2 linked regions of the Drosophila melanogaster genome follow. The gene in region 2 interacts genetically with the main gene of each other region. Each region holds a gene or a part of one and is shown on either strand. Other genes may lie near its edges.

Evidence for each region.
Region 1: of Aldh-III (region 2) and bigmax, changing one suppresses a phenotype caused by changing the other (phenotypic suppression), as found in Drosophila melanogaster (one study listed by BioGRID).

Annotation. Positions count from the first base shown.
Region 1 is NT_033777.3:27,285,218-27,292,891, forward strand, and holds bigmax (bigmax), read right to left. Parts: upstream 3,310-7,674; 5' UTR 3,253-3,309; coding exon 3,111-3,252; intron 2,969-3,110; coding exon 2,568-2,968; intron 2,503-2,567; coding exon 2,281-2,502; 3' UTR 2,149-2,280; downstream 1-2,148. Other genes in the region: CG3368 (uncharacterized protein), read left to right, coding at 1-810, 869-2,098; Hmu (hemomucin), read left to right, coding at 3,713-3,828, 3,898-4,103, 4,163-4,463, 4,800-5,916; CG3348 (uncharacterized protein), read right to left, coding at 6,443-6,739.
Region 2 is NT_033778.4:7,471,621-7,480,257, reverse strand, and holds the start of Aldh-III (aldehyde dehydrogenase type III), read left to right. Parts: upstream 1-3,095; 5' UTR 3,096-4,011; intron 4,012-4,698; 5' UTR 4,699-4,763; coding exon 4,764-4,818; intron 4,819-4,877; coding exon 4,878-4,916; intron 4,917-5,598; exon of another isoform or gene 5,599-5,686; intron 5,687-6,127; exon of another isoform or gene 6,128-6,414; coding exon 6,415-6,536; intron 6,537-6,911; coding exon 6,912-6,970; intron 6,971-8,637.

The sequences.
Region 1 (7,674 bases), on a different chromosome or scaffold from region 2:
CAGAATATCAAGCGATTCTTTTCACATCTTCAGCATCTGATTGAGCGGGACATCCACAGCGAGGTTTATCAACCCAAGATCTTTGCCCTGAAGTTGCTGGAAATCCTAAATAGGTCGCTATATGCAGAAGAAGTCGCAAAAAATGCAAAAATGTGCAGTCCTCAGCAGAATCAGCGCATGGGCATATTTCTCCTGGAGCACGGAGTCTTTCGTCCAAAGGAAATGGCGCAACAGCTCTTCGAAACCCTCAACAATCCACAAGGTTTCGATGATGCTTTGGACCTAACGGTCTCCCTGTTGATTCAGATGGGCCATGTGGACAGTGAAAAGTGCGTGGAGCGGTGCTTCGAACTGTGCCACACGTCTGATATGGACCAATGCTCCTTGGTTTCCCTCTACGCACAGTTGGCGGTTACAAAAGAGCAAGCTGGATCAAAGATATTTGATGAGTGCCTGAAAAGGCTTACCGGTAAATTAGATCCCTTCTTCGAAGATCCTTTGCAGACCGCCAAGAGCGGAGGACATCTCTTTGGCTATCTTTGCGCCTTGGACGAGGTGGTCAAGGCTGGCTTGGCAGTGGAGACGCCTCTGGAGGATTTGTTGCCATTGCTAGAGAGAATTCTCAGCGGCATTCTCAAGTTCCTCAATGTGGCCAACGCCCGGCGACAGGAAGAGGCAGCCACAGCAGCCAGTTTCCAGGACATGGACGAGAGTCTCCAGCTGCTGGTCAGCGAAAGCTCCTTCAAGTGTGATGGGGAGGAAGAGGCTTGTCGAAAGTACTTACTGATGAGCTTCTGGTTAACGTTGAAGGTGCGTAGATATATTTCTTAACTCTTGATAAACTTATCATTTGTTTATCCTTCTGCAGGGCTGTTGCGATCTGGCCACCAGCATTGGGTGTTACCAATTGCAAACGTCTGCCAAAACAGTTAACACCGAGACTCTGCGTCGTTGCCTCAATATTAATGTTTCCGTTTTGACGCTTTGCCGGCACAAAGGAGCCATAGAGGCGGCCGGCTTGAGCATTGGCAGACTTACCCGTGCCATCACCAGTAGCTTAGACAGCTGCGATTCGGGATTCCAAATGCTTCACGACTGCCTAGAGCGAGAGCTGCTGACTGAAAGCCGTCAAGTGAGCACCACACGACGTGGTGCCGGCTTCGCCATAATGTTCCTTCACGTGCTGAAGAACGATAATCCACGACAGCGGCTGCTGCTCCATCGCGCTGTGCAGCAGATTCTTAAGAGGCTAAATGAAAACCAAACCGCGGAGACTGTTTGTCTCGATAGCAATCACGATCGCTGGGAGGCATTGGTACTGCATTACCTTTGCGTTCTTGTGCGCGACACAGAACTGAGGCCAGCTATGAGCAAGTACTACAATGAGATTCTGCTGGTGGCCATGGAGCACATCACCAACCCCGAATGGACCATTTCGAATGCGGCACTTCAACTCTTTGGCGCCAATCTGGGCAAGCTGGTCGGCCAGCGCCAAGCTACAGAGTTTGACACACGACCCGCCTGGGAACCCAGTGAGCTGGACTACGACGAATTGGGCTGCTTGCTGCCCAAGGCTTGCGAGCACATGCTGAGGTGCTGTGATCGCCAGGAGGTCACGTCATCCATCATACTCTTTCTGGCCTTCTTGTCCAAGGTCGAGCACTTGCGTACGTCGGGCGGGAAAGAGCCAAATCCCCTGCTCATTCGCTTCCGCCGACTCAGTTGGCATTTGTTGCGGCACAAATGTGATCAGGTCCGCCAACTGGCGGCCACCTGCTTTGTGCGGTCGCACGAATTCCGCTGCGATCTGCCGGCGGCGCTGCTGGCCAGCGCCAAGTTGGCCGCGAATCTGGAGGAGGAGAACTTCTACGAGGGACTGATTTACACGCTGACATCGGGCGTGCTGAAACTAAAGCACGAAGCACGTCATGTGTGGAGCGCGGGACGTCTGGAGGGATTCCTTGAAGCGCTGCTCACCGCGCTGGATGTCACTGAGCGAGTTCGTCGCTTCAAGCCGTACACACGGAATGTGCTGCTGGAACTGCTAGGCCAGCTGGGTAGTGCGGATAAAGCGGCTCTCGTCGAGTCTCTCGGCTAGCATTAGCAAATCTAGTTTTATCTAATCTTTAATCATTAAGCCAAAAAGTTATCTTTCCTTGTCAACGCTTTTACAACTATTCAAATGACGCATTTAATGTTTGTACGCAGTAAACGTAACGAAAGTATCTACCAAACAGGGATTTCTAAAATAACCAATGAGAATATGAACTAACCGCGCGATCAGCTGAAACCCTCGCTCGACTCCTGCTCCATGGCCTGAAGTTCCTGTTTTTCCATAGCCTCCTGCGCCATTTGCTGCAAGGTACGACTGAGTATGTTGCGCAGGATGTGCGGCTTGCAGTGCTCCTCCAGCCAGGGGATAATGCCGGTGGTCAGCTGCTTAAAGTTCTCCATGGGTATGTGTTGAAATGTCTCGAACATTTCCTCCATAATGGCCTGGAACTACGGAGGAGGGTGGTGGGTGGCGATTCTAGAGGTTATAATAGAGGTAAGCGCTCCATACTTACCACTTGAAACTTGGCCTCATCGGTGAGTCGTGCCTCCTCCGGCCCTGGATTCGCCTGCTGATGCTGTAGCATGTTCTCATAGCCGTTCTTAATGATCCGTAACGCTGTTACCTCCTTTTGTAGCGCCGATCCCTCGTCCTCCTGCTTGAGTTTCTGCTGGTTAAGGTAGCCAATGTATTCGATGGACTTCTGCAGGATCAGAGCCTTGCTGAGCTTGTAGCCGGAGGAGTCGTTGGGCTGGCAGCGCGGCACCAGCTCCTGCAGACTGTCGTAGCCCTTCTTAATGGCATCGCGCCGCTTCTGCTCCGCCTGGGTGTGCGCCTCCCTTCTCCGCTCCTTGTAACTCAGCGTGGAATTGGCGGCCGCGGAATGGCGCGCATCGCCGCTATCGTCGTCGTCGTCTGCGATACAGAACCGAAACATGAGTACAATGTAATAAAATGCTGCTGATAGCGAGTAATTCAATGCCACTGCTTTATCAGCTGCCCCCGCCCCGCACTCTTGACCGATCAGCGTGACCGATCTTGACCAGCGTTCGCCCACCTGAATTGTGCGCCGAGGAGTTCGGAGTGTGCGTGCTGCCCGCACTGCTGCACCGCGAGTAGTGCTTGCTGGTGTGGTCCTGGTCGTGCTCCATGCCGAAAACGTCTTCCTTGGTGGCCAACGCGTTGTTATTATCGCTCATCGTCAACTGCGACGTTTTGGAATTCCCAAAACAAAAACACTAGCAGCGGTGTGACTGTCGCAAGGTAGCGCGAAAAGCCTTCGGTATCTGATGGTCACATTCAACATTGTGCGATAGTTTTAAGGAATTTTTAAAACAGTTATCAGGTACCAGGCTAACAGGTACTTTAATTATGATGTTATTCAACCAACTATGCTTGTTATAATTTGCATCCCTAATAACATAGTTTTTAGAAACTGCATACAATTAATTTTTGTAGCAGAGTGTAAGATGTGGTACGTTCAATCAACGAATGATAGTCATATCGATATTTCGGCCACCTCTACCGGTCCGGATGATGACTTTTACGTTTTTTTCTTGTTGAACTTTGCCGTCGTGTCGCTTTCTTCGGGGTTATTGCTTAAATTTAGCGGGTTTTTGGGCTGTAATTTGTGATCGGCGGACGCACAAGGAATCAATCATGGGCCTGCTATATGCGCTGCGCGTGAGGATCATGAACTTCATGATTTTCTTCCTCCTCATCATCCTAATGCCCGGTCTGCCGCCGCGCACCACCTTCCCCTTCAAGGACTATATGTAAGTGCCGCCCGTTTCAATTGACGTAATTCCCGTGTTAATCCTTGGAGAAATCGCCACTTCGTACAGTGTGACCCCGCCCAAAGACCTGAAGGGTGCGCTGGAATCGAACTTTCACCTGGAGGGAGCGGAGCGACTGCTGGAGGGGCGGGTCTACGGCCCGGAGTGCCTGATAGCCCGCAACAACGAGATCTACACCGGCATCCACGGCGGTGAGGTCATCAAGCTAACGTCCAACCATGTCACGCATGTCACCAAGATCGGCCAGCCCTGCGGTGCGTATTTTCGAGTCCTATAAAGGGAATTTCATTTTATAATAGTAATCCCCTTGCAGAGGACATCTACGAGGAGTCCCGGTGCGGCCGTCCGCTGGGACTGGCCTTTGATACGCAGGGCAACAACCTCATCATCGCCGACGCCTACTACGGCCTGTGGCAGGTGGACCTGGGCACCAATAAGAAGACTCTGCTGGTCTCGCCCGCCCAGGAGCTTGCCGGCAAGTCCATCAACCGCCCTGCCAAGATTTTCAACGGCGTGACCGTGAGCAAAGAGGGCGACGTCTACTGGACGGACTCCTCGTCGGACTTCACCATCGAAGACCTCGTCTTTGCCAGCTTTGCTAACCCCTCCGGCCGGTGAGTTCATCGCAAATTATAGCGACACTGTCTAATATTGCTAGAATTCAAAGTGATAGCTATTCGGAATAGGGCTACAGTGGGACCCCATTACAATGTATTTCTTTATAAAACGTGTTTTGTGACCCATTTAAGATTATTTCAAATGTTTGTAGCGGAGGAATCGAGGGAGTCACTTAATTAATCTCAATTAAGAGTCCACGCTTACTGAAGTTAGCTTAATTCTTATAATTAAGGGACAAGTTACAGAAGTATGACTGTAAGACGAACGCAAACCGGTTTCTCGATCTGGTCTTATGGTTACTCTAACGGCCTTTGCTTTCTTCTACGTTCCAGTCTCTTCAAATACAATCGCTCGAAGAATGTTAGCGAGGTGCTGCTGGACGAACTGGCTTTCGCCAATGGATTGGCCCTCAGTCCCAACGAGGACTTCATCGTGGTAGCCGAAACCGGAGCGATGCGTCTGACAAAGTATCACCTGAAGGGAGCGAAGGCCGGTCAGAGCGAGGTGTTCGTCGACGGACTGCCCGGTTTGCCCGATAACCTGACACCCGACGCCGAGGGCATCTGGGTGCCATTGGTCCAGAGCGCGGATAGCGAGCATCCCAACGGCTTCACCCTGTTCACTCGCTTCCCCAGCGTGCGCCTGTTCCTGGCCCGCATGCTGGCTTTGTTCGAGCTGCCCTTCCGCTACTTGAACAGCGTATATCCGAACAAGTTCTCGCAGCGATTCGTTCACTTCGTGGGACACATGGAGAGCATCACTGTGCTGGCGCCCAAGCGAACGACTGTCGTGCGTGTGGACTGGAACGGCAACATTGTGGGCTCGCTGCATGGCTTCGACAAGTCGGCCGCCACGGTATCACACGTCCTGGAGTTCCAGGACTTCTTGTTCTTGGGCTCCCCCACCAATCAGTACCTGGCGCGTGTCAAGTCGCCAAAGGCCAAGCAGCCCACGCTGAAGGTGCGCAATGTTCGCGTCGAGGGCGAGGGCTTGGAGGCGTCCATTGGTGTGCCACCCAGCAAAGCCACTCCTAAACCCAAGGCGGCTCCTAGCACCACCACTCCGAAACCCACTACCACAACGACAACTACCACGCCGAAACCCACTACCAAGACGACAACTACTACAACCACGCCAAAGCCCACTACCACAACGACAACCAAGAAGCCAACGACCACTACCACCACTACGACAACCACGCCGAAGCCAACAACTACTAAGCCGCCGACAGCTAAGCCATCTACGACTACAACAACCACCACTACTCCTAAGCCAACTACTACTACTACTCCTACTACTCCTACTCCAGAGCCTTCTAAACCGAAGGTCAAGCGCACAGTGCCTGAGAAACCCGCGCCCGTTGAGGAGGATATCCCCTCGGACACACAGCCACCCAAGAAGGAGAAGCTCAAGGTCATCAACAAGCAAGGCGTCAATGTGGAGCTTTAAGATCGCAGACGCATCAGCTTCCTCCTGAGTTAATCGGGCATATTCCCGGACGCGAGATTAGTTTCTTCACGCAGTCAAAACCTATTAGGATTATTATCTTTTTCCCTCCAACATCTCAACCACTTTTGGGGAATTTTCAAAGGTTTCTTATTTATCATGCCCCAACTCAGGCTGTCGAAACCAGTTAATTTTAGTCGAAAGGTAGCTAAATTCAGACTAGCCGAGGGCCTTGCTCATATGATCCTCGACGGGCAACGCTTTATATGTTGTAGACTAACATATAATTCTGTTTTGCTTAGGCACTATAAACATTCCATTCCTTTTTACAACCGGAAGTGCATTCCATGTAGCTAAGTTAATAGTAAACAATGCCCCAAAATTGTTAAACTCGAGCAACTTTTGATTTTGTACTGATTTTTTTTCTTATTTTCATTAAAAATAAAGGTATTTTGTAAAAATAGACGTAAGCCTAATGAGGTTGGTTGTCTTAGACTAGCATTAAATTAAGTTTAGCCGTAAGATATCACTAATTTGTGGACACCGATTGACTGATCTTGGCTCGGCCAGCCGGCTCCTTGGGATCCGTCCAGGCCCAATCGGCATAGTGGACGCAACGGCCGAGTTCCTCGGAGTAGAGCTGCGACTGCGGACAGCGCTGGAGACGAGCCCGTGTGCCCTGCTTATCGCACACCCAGTAGGCCGTGGGATCCCAGTAATTCCGGAACATGCGGTTCACCTCATCTAGACCCTGGCAGCTGGGCTCGCCATTGTGCTCATGCGGCCGGCGCTTCTGAATGGGCAGATGTGCTGATGCGGTAGGCATTTTGTTCAAGTGATTGGGTTCGGTTTTTTGGGGAATTCTGAAATCAAAACCGGAACTGGGCATTAGTCCACGATGTCAGAGCGTGATCGTCGCATAAATTTACTATAATTCTTGGCAAAGGCATTTGCCCCACATATTTTACTGAATTAAACTCTCCCTTTTCGCTTACCTTGTGCTATTTCTTGGTCGTTAGTTATTTTTAACGGCTAGCAGCCTGTTGCTCGCTGTTGCTGAGTTATTTCACTTCTGATTTGTCATACCGAATCATTTCCCGCTTAAATACCATTTCGTCGGACGACGTCGACGCCGCCGTCCGCTGCTTTGGTCATAGATAGCGTTGCTAGACTCTGGTTCGAGGGCCGATTCCCGATCCGATTCCAACGCTTTTTCGTTGTCGGGCAACGAGCACTTTGTATCTATGTATGAGGTCCAAGAATTTGCACTGAATCGCCTTGATCTTGAGGCGTCCCAAAGGGTGGGTGCGGGTCGGTCTCTGGGTGGCTAAGACCGCCAGGCCACCCGATGCCCGGTCGTGGTCACGTGTCGTCGTCGTGGCCGGGGGAATACTCCCAGCGCAGACTGTCGGTATGCCGTAAATTTCGCACATAAAACGAGCGCAAACATATTTGGAGAAAAAATTAGGTAACATGCTCGCAGGTTGAAACCGCTTAGTGCACTGAAAAAAAAAATGTAGCTCGTATGTTTAACTTATTTTATAAATTTTATACATGCAGCTTGTATGTATAAATCTTTAACAGTTTGTTCGTTAATTGTTAAAATAAAGGAAATTCCTATTTACAATTAAAGTGCTGCTTAGTTTCTTTGCGTGTATTTGTTTCCTGCCTAATTTTCGAGGGTTGAGGTCAGAGTGCCGCCAGTGCCTTCTGAGCAATGACGCCAACGGAAAATGTCAACAAATGCATATATATAGTTCG
Region 2 (8,637 bases):
CAAGACCCACATATGTAACTATTTACTAAGCCACGTTTTATAACAAACATAACAACAAATCGATCGACGATGCTAAAGCAAACGGAATGAACTCTTATCAAAATACAATTTTGAGTAATACTTTTAAAACGACAAATGCAAAAAACAAAAAAAAAAAAAAAAAAAAAAAAAAAGCAATTCTCGGCCAGAGCAGAGAAACGATTTCACTACCAACTAAAAAGATCTTTAAAATTACGTACTATGCATACATACACATATATATTTTGACGCGATCATTTAGCCATTAAGTTTCTAAGAGAACAACACCCACGATTATAACTAAATTTGAAAGCATTTCTCATTTGGAAATTATGAACATAAACATACGCATACGCAACGCATAAGCATACATACATACATACATAAATACACGTACATAACATATGTAATAATTATGGAGCAATTGAGTACAAAACGAGTACAAATTTAAATTATAAGCCAGATCGGAGGACACACACGGACACACACCGCTTAAGTTAAACCATACACGGAGCAGTTGAAATATTGATAGGCCAGCTACTGGTTTCGCATAGCAAGTACAGCATGTACTCATATATTCATATTCATATTCATATTCATATTCGAGCGGAGGACTGGACTCAGCGAAATAGCCAGCATACTAACCACACATATAAGCATAGTCGCAGTACATACATACATACATAGTTACTTAACATAGACTAGCCTAGACTAGCCCGCAAAACTATACATCTACATATATATCTAGGGCAAATGATTACCAAATTACAAATTACCAAAATCCCTCCTAGCCCGCTAATCTAAATCTCATCTAGTTTGATTTGCTCTCGATAGATAGGCGAGATCGCGTTTGGCACACCCAAAAAGCATCTCAAGCATTTTCACCCACTCAGCATTCTGCATTCTGCAATCTGCAATCTGCATTCAGCAGTATTCAGCATTCAGCATCAGCGTACATACATTCATATGTAGGGGCGTGCGGGTACTAGGTACACCCACCAGTAAGCAGCTATTAAGTCCGAGTAAGGCGATAAATCGAAGTCTAGGAAATCTACCAAATCAAGCGACGGATTCAATAACGAGTTGCAGTTTAAAATTGTAATTGTGTAGTAGTGGAAAGCGAGGAGGAGGTCAGAAACAAGCGCGGACCACGGGTGCGCCACCACCTGGTGGCTGCGTGGTCTGGCACTTTTCTATATACATGCATACACATACATATTTATATACCCGAATATATATATATATATATATACAAGCGTACATAGGTGTGGACTTGACGAGACAAGAGTAAGAGTATATTTTATACGATAAACAAATTTTATAACATATTTAATAATAAATTATACACTAATAATTGTGGACACTGCTCTGCGTTTTTTTCTATCTCACTTGAACACTTGAGTTCCACAGCGCAAGCCTAAAGATAGGCTACTGTATCTCACGGGTGCATAAGAGTTCAACTAGCTAATGGTTCCATATGAATGCTTACAATGGATTGGTTGAATTGAATTGAAATTGAATGGGAACAATCAATATATTTCTGGGTTTTGAAGCCAATCTAAGGTAAGTAACGTACTCCCGGTTGGAGCTCGAAAAACTGAGCGAAGATGTGGATTGCATACGATCGTTCAATGAATCTTAGAATGGATTGATTGAATACCTCGATATGTAATCATGATTGTGATTGAAATTGATTCGGAGCAATTACTTCAAGTCATTCTACATATCTGGTTATTAAAGCCAATCTTAAGTCAATTATGGGTTTCAAACGTAATTGAAACATTATGATACCTTCGAATTGGTTGATAGAATGATTAATTTCAATCTTAGTTACTTTCTGACACAAAGATAAGGCTTTAGCCCATAGATATTTACTTCTCAAATGCCAGCATCTTTAGCTGCCTCGTTTAATGGGTGATGCCGTCACGCGGACCCGGAACCTGGGTCAAGGCCACGCTTCCATCTCCATAGAGCCCACATACATGCGACGCAAATGGGTTGCGGGCATTGTCGAAAAAGTGCCGAGCGGCCATTAGAATGACAAAAGGAATCGCTAAGTACGCCGCTGGGCATAATGAGACTTGGCGAGGCAACTGAAAAGTTGGAATACTATTTGGAATCGCATCAATTGCGTGACTACAATTGCGGCAGCTTTGTGTGCAAAGAGCACCATTCGAAATCACTTTTACAATTGTTTGCTGGCCGTAAAGTTGGGCAAAGCGAGCCAAAGTCCACCGCCAGCTGGTAGCGACCAGCTAATTTCAGTGGCGAGAACAGGTAATTACGGCATTAGAATCCGGACTGATATGCCAATTGGCAGGTTTACTGGACTAAACGCGATCTGTTTAATGGATCTCAGCTCTCGATCTCAAGCAGACGACGTCTGGCACTGAGGTTTTTGTCCGGATCTCATGGTCAGGGTGCGAAGCTGTCCGCTGTGATTCGATGCAAGTGAATACTTATCAATAACCGGTTATTTATTAGCCGTCACTTCACTTGCTGGCTTCTGCCGCAAAACAGCTGCTCGAAATAACAAACACCTGAAAGGCAAATAGTTTATTGTTTACGGGACGATCTTTAGCCTGGCTCGCCCTATTCCTAATTGGCTAGGGCATCGGGTACAGGCTGCACTGCCTAAATAGAACTGATGTCAAATCTCAAATTAAAACTACCTTCATTACAGTCATAATTTCTGGTCAGTAGTTATATCTTGTGCCCTTAACTTTGCTTCTAAATAGCATTTAAAGAATGTAACACTTTTATAAGAGTTTTTTTTTTGCTGTAGCACAGATTTGTTACAACTTTACTTCATGATAAAAAAAAACGAGTCTAGTTGACGAACCCAATAAGTTGCCATGAGCAACTATCAAAAATGTGGATTTAATTTGAGGAAAAACAGATTTTCGCAGGCGCCCAGTTTGTAAATTGGCAGTTGGTGGTTCCAGTTTTTCCAATTAGTGCCACTCTTTTGCAATGTGACAAACGCCTTTTAAACGGCGTGTTCGTTGCACAGAAGCCGGACTGTATCGTCATTCGGATTAGTAGAGAGGTGGCTGGCATCCATCACCATTATCTGGTGACTTTGGGCCGGGAATGCGTGTGCATCTGCGACCTGTGATTAGCGCCGAAGACCCCCATTAAGAAATTCAAATCAAAAGTCGAGATTTGAGATTTAAGATTCGAGATTCGAGATAATCAAGAACGCGAAGAAAACTGAAACTGGAAAAGCGACGACGACTGCGGGTACGGGCCAACTTGGAGCGCTTAGCCGGGCTTAGACGTGTTTCGAGCGCGGCGGCGTCAGGTGAATCCGAGATTCAATCCTAATTCGAATTCGAATCCGAGTGCCCGGTGCGTGTTCAATACGCTTTTGAATACAGCGACTTGTTTGCTGGCTAATTTTTTTTTTTCGAGTGGCGGGCTACGCATACAAATTAGACCAGCACATAGTGTCCATGTGTAATTAAGCGACCCGATTCACTGTAAGCCGCTCCAGCCGAAGTGTGGTCGAGTGCATCGGTCCGGCTTTCCGCCTCCAGATACACGCGGCGGTGGTCAACGGCCAGTGGCCACTTGGCAGTGCTCCGCCACTCAAATCAGTTGGCTTTCGGGCGTTATCGCGCGCAGATTTGCTTGGATTTAAACCAAAGTACCGGATAGTGGTTATTTAATCTACACTCGCGCTTATTAGCCAACTGCGTTGACAATTAGCCGGCCCAGATGCTGGAATGAAAGTGAAACTGGAGACGGAAAACCGAAAACCAAATCCAGTCGAAGTCGGTTACATGATAAACGCCATGTGAATATGTTGTCATACAGAAACGTGATCCCCTGTGCTAATCAATTCAATTCGCATTGAATCATCGAGTGTGTTGGCCAACAGCCATATTTGCATGGTTGAACTTGAAACTGATTACTGATTATGGAGTGCTGGTGCATTTGGGTGTTTTTTCATTGATATATTGTTGTTTCAGCTTTTAAAGACTTCAAATCGTAAGCTTGAATTGTATACGATTTGTTTGATCATTTGCAATTATTTTATTATGTTTATCCCCAAGTCAAAATGTACAAATATTTATGAAAAGGGATCAAACACAGCTGCACTTTCAAATTAATAAAGAAATTGTCGAGTGTCACGACTATTAGATATCCATTACTGAGCGCGAAGAATTCTACTAATAAATACGCAGTATCCAACTTGCTTGCTATTGTAGTTTCCCAGAATTTCTTTTACATTTGATCCCTATAAACTTGGAAATTCTATTAAAAATTCGACTTATAGAAATCCATATTTTTACAAGTATTGTTGTAAACTATTATTCGTAAGGAAGTGCAAAGTTGTGCCATAAACAATGGCGGAAAAAATATTACAATCTAATATGAATACTAGAAATATTGATCATCTATTGTAATATTTCTTGTTTAGACAATATTTCAATCTTTAGTTCACCTTAACCAATTGGCGGGCCAAAAAGCTTGTGTAAGTCAATGTGGAATTTGTGAAGGATTTCGCCAGCTGGTTATTTAATTGATTTTCCCACGAGGACAACTTGACAAATTGACATTGATTTTCATTTGGTTTGCTTAGTTAAGTGTGCAATCTTCTTGTTCGGACATTTGCCACTTAATAGTTAGTAGTTAACCACATTTACCACATTCGTTTCCTGGGAATCCCTACAGCTTTTGTGCTATTTAAAAGTGTCCCCAATAGCGAATTTATAACCAAACAAAAAAACACTACGATAATGTTTGACAACGCGATTAAACCTCATCCGGAGGCCAATGGAGCTCCAATAAATGGTAAGCTAATGAAAGTCTTACTTATCAAAATGCCCGATTTTATAGAGTTTCCGTTAAAGCAGCAGGAGATCGGCCGATAACTACTGTCATTAATATTGGTGAGTCAAAAAGTTCGTATGCCACAAAAGCTTTGCATACAATGTGTATAAAAATAGAAGCAGTACTCAGAGGGTGAAATCTAGTTTTTCCTGTACAGCTTAAAACTTGATCAAAAACTAAGGGGTTTTTAAATTATATGCATTATTGTAAAGTCCAATAATCTTAATAATCTTAATAAGCGTGAAAGCTTTTATAGGACACGCATGTAACATCATTATTTAGCTAAAAATAACTTAAAATCCTCAAACACATTTAGTTTCACTCATGGTGACTCCGTCATATATTGTTTAATCGCACTCATTGTTATATGTCATTTGTTTAATCGGAGTCACCGTTACCAAGCACTATTATCGGAAAGTATAGAAGTGCGATATATAAACAAATGCGTTCGGTTTAAAGTGGGGAGTGTACTATGTCCAACTAATATTAACACCATTGATATTAGCAGATTAGGCTGGAATAACGTTCAGAATGCTCTGAACTTGTGTTAGCCGAGTCCAAAACATACTGATTCGTTATCGGAGCGACACGCTTGACTTTCCCCATCCGAAATCCAGTGTCCATATCAGTTGGTATATAGCTTATGTATGTACATTCTGAACGAAATACACATGCATTCAGTTCTGATAATGAATGCCAGCGGCCCTAGTCGAGTATATGTTCGGTTCGTGGAGTAACAATCCACTCAGTGTCGACCGGCATTTGCGTTGAAAAGGTGTGTTCTGTTCTCGGAGAGATTAAAATAGCGAATTCAGAGTGTTTTTTTTGGGTAAGCCAGCTGTTTTCTGTGCACCGACTGGATATGCTTATTTATGGTGCAATTAGGTTGCGCCATTTAGTGAACAACCAGTTGTTTTCGTTGGAAACGAGTATTACTCTTTTGCAGTTGTGCCAAAATAAATAAGTGTTTGAAAAACTGTTACGTGTTTGCATAGTTTAAGTTTACCGCTATGGAAAGTTACAGACTGAACGACATTAGCAAACACTGGATTAGCAGTGACATGAACCAAGATTAACTTAACACTTACTATTGTTTTACAAATAAAACGAAAACTTAAATGTTTACGCCAATAGACTGTAGTTACATCCCGATAATTTTTAAAGAACCACTTTAAACTTTATTATTGTCGAAATTTACGACTGTAGCTCGTCTTATATTAGGCGCCCTTTGGCACTTTTTAGCTACAAATTCGAAGCCCAGCGCGGTCACACTGGCAGCAAGTTTCGCATTCAGATCCGATCCAAATCTTGAAATATACAAGTTTTGTTGTCGCGGTGAACGGTTGTCAAAGCGCGTCAACTGCATGCGTTTATATCTTTTTTCTTCCTGCTGACGGTACCGAAAAGTACACATAATTTTAACAACAAACAGAAGACGCACAACCGAAACAACGGTAGATGCGTAACGAACGAAAGTGAAAGAGTGTCAGTGTTGTTTACATTTGCCGTGCCACCCGCTCCCGCTCACGACCCCTTTCCCTTTCTCCTGAAACGCAGAACCAGAACCAGAAACCGAAAGTCCAATTGGGATCTTCACATCACAACCGGAAAGTCAACAACAACAACCCGAGCAGCTCCAATCCGAATCCGAGTCCGACAGAATGGCCAATTTTGACGATGTGAGTGTCCAATTAGGCAATTTATTGCGAGCGAGAGAAAGAGATGTGTAACGATTATTAACTTTAACTGACACATATGTTGTTAAATGTATGAACGAAACACACACAGACGAACTCCGTGCACGTAACGAACATTAAGCGCCTTATTTTAGTTTGATTTTGATTTGATTTTTATTTGAATTTTTCGCCGCTTCGTCGTTATCCTCCCGTCTGTATGCGTGTTGCATGTTGCTATTGCTATTGCGTATGTGAAATCGCAACTGCCTCCTACGAACAACCATGACAACAACTACAACATCTACAACAACGTTGGTCGGACTGGAAACTCCAATTGGGATGGCTAACGAAAACAACAAAAACAACAACAACGACCAGACGTTGCAACGCGCCCGCCTTGCCTTTTCCAGTGGAAAGACCAGGAATGTCAGCTTTCGGTGAGTTTACTTTTATTTCGGCACTTTATTCGCTTGCTGTCAGTTAATTTTTTGCAAAGGCTCCTCGTCTTGGCCAACATATTGCGTTAAAACTGCCGCTTGAGTGGAGATTGTGTCATATATTTCGCTGATTACATTGGTTGGGAGGATCTGGAAAGTGGAAGTGGGTTAACTTCCAGCAAGCGGGACTGGAATTAAAATCGCCGTGGAAGTTATTTGAAATCTTCACATCTTCATTCTATTCCGCTTTTGTTTTGAATTTCATTGATTTGTGATTTAATTTTTTTTTTAATTTATTTAACTCGATGCGGAGTTTTGTATAATTTGACATTTATCTCTTCTTTGGCTTTAGATGACTTCTTTTAATCGCATAGTTTGATTTTAATATCCACTTGGAAGGTACATATATTTTTATCATTTGTAGTAATGGGCAATATTTTAACATTTTAATATATGTACATTATTTTCCATGCGGCTTGGAGGTAGGATTAAGATTTCAGGCATTAAGTCCCCACACCGAGCTTTTATGCGAAGTGATTTCCCAATCCGCTGGCCACCGTATCTCTGTTTGCTTTTATGACTGGGGGGCCATTACAAAGCCATTGCGGCAGGGCAGTCAGCGAACTAACTATGTACGTACATACATACGATCTCGGCTCGGGGGGCATAATAACTTTTCATGGCTATTGTTGCATTGGGGCCAACGAAAGGCGGAGATCTCAATCCGATCCCACCGACTTTCACACGCAATGCAAGCTTTGACCTTTGAGCCACACGCCCTCGAGCTTTTCACGCCGCCGTAGTACATGCGTGATAAGAACCAAAGATAGTGGAGCAGAGATGCTAAAGTCTAGTTGTATTCCGTTCCGATATGCATTAATGAGCCCGCGGCGGAACTTTGACTCCGTCAAGTGGTTGTACTTTGAATGCAATTAGACGGCGGCGGACGGAATTGTGGCATGTAACCGGAATAATTGCCATTTCCACGTCCCGACCGACCGAAGCAGCACTCATCCGCCAATGGGCATGATCGCGAACTCATACCTCATATACGTTTATGGATATGCTAATGGACAAAGAGGCCGAGGGAAATAGAGACGGAGCAGAGACCGACGAAAACAGGCGATATACCCATACCCGCCGATATCTCGGTATTTTGAGTGCGAAGTGTGAAACGGAAGTGCGGAGGAATCTCAGCCCAAGGCTGCTGGCCGCTGGCCGTTTGGTTCCATGATCTTTCAAATAGATCCGGACAAACGAACACGTTCTATCGCCGTCTGCGCCTCCGGCTACTTCTACTCCACTAATATAATCAGCTAGCTATTCAAATAGATTTGCCGAACAAGAACCACAGAAAATCTTACGACTTGAAAAGTTGGTTTGTATGGTATGATGTACATATGTACAACTGTTGGACTTTGATTGACCAAGTTCGATCGATGTATTGACTCAATTAAAGCAATAATTTCAAGCTTATAGATACTTATTGAAAGAGACGATCCATTAGAAACGGCAATTCAATACACACAATTTCCATAAGCCATTACTTTAAACGTTTAAGCATCGTAATAGTTTTAGAACGTGAATGTGAAGTACATACTTACTTACTTACTTGATATTAAAAGTCCAATGACTCTGCTCAATAAATTAGGCATTGCGCTTAATGA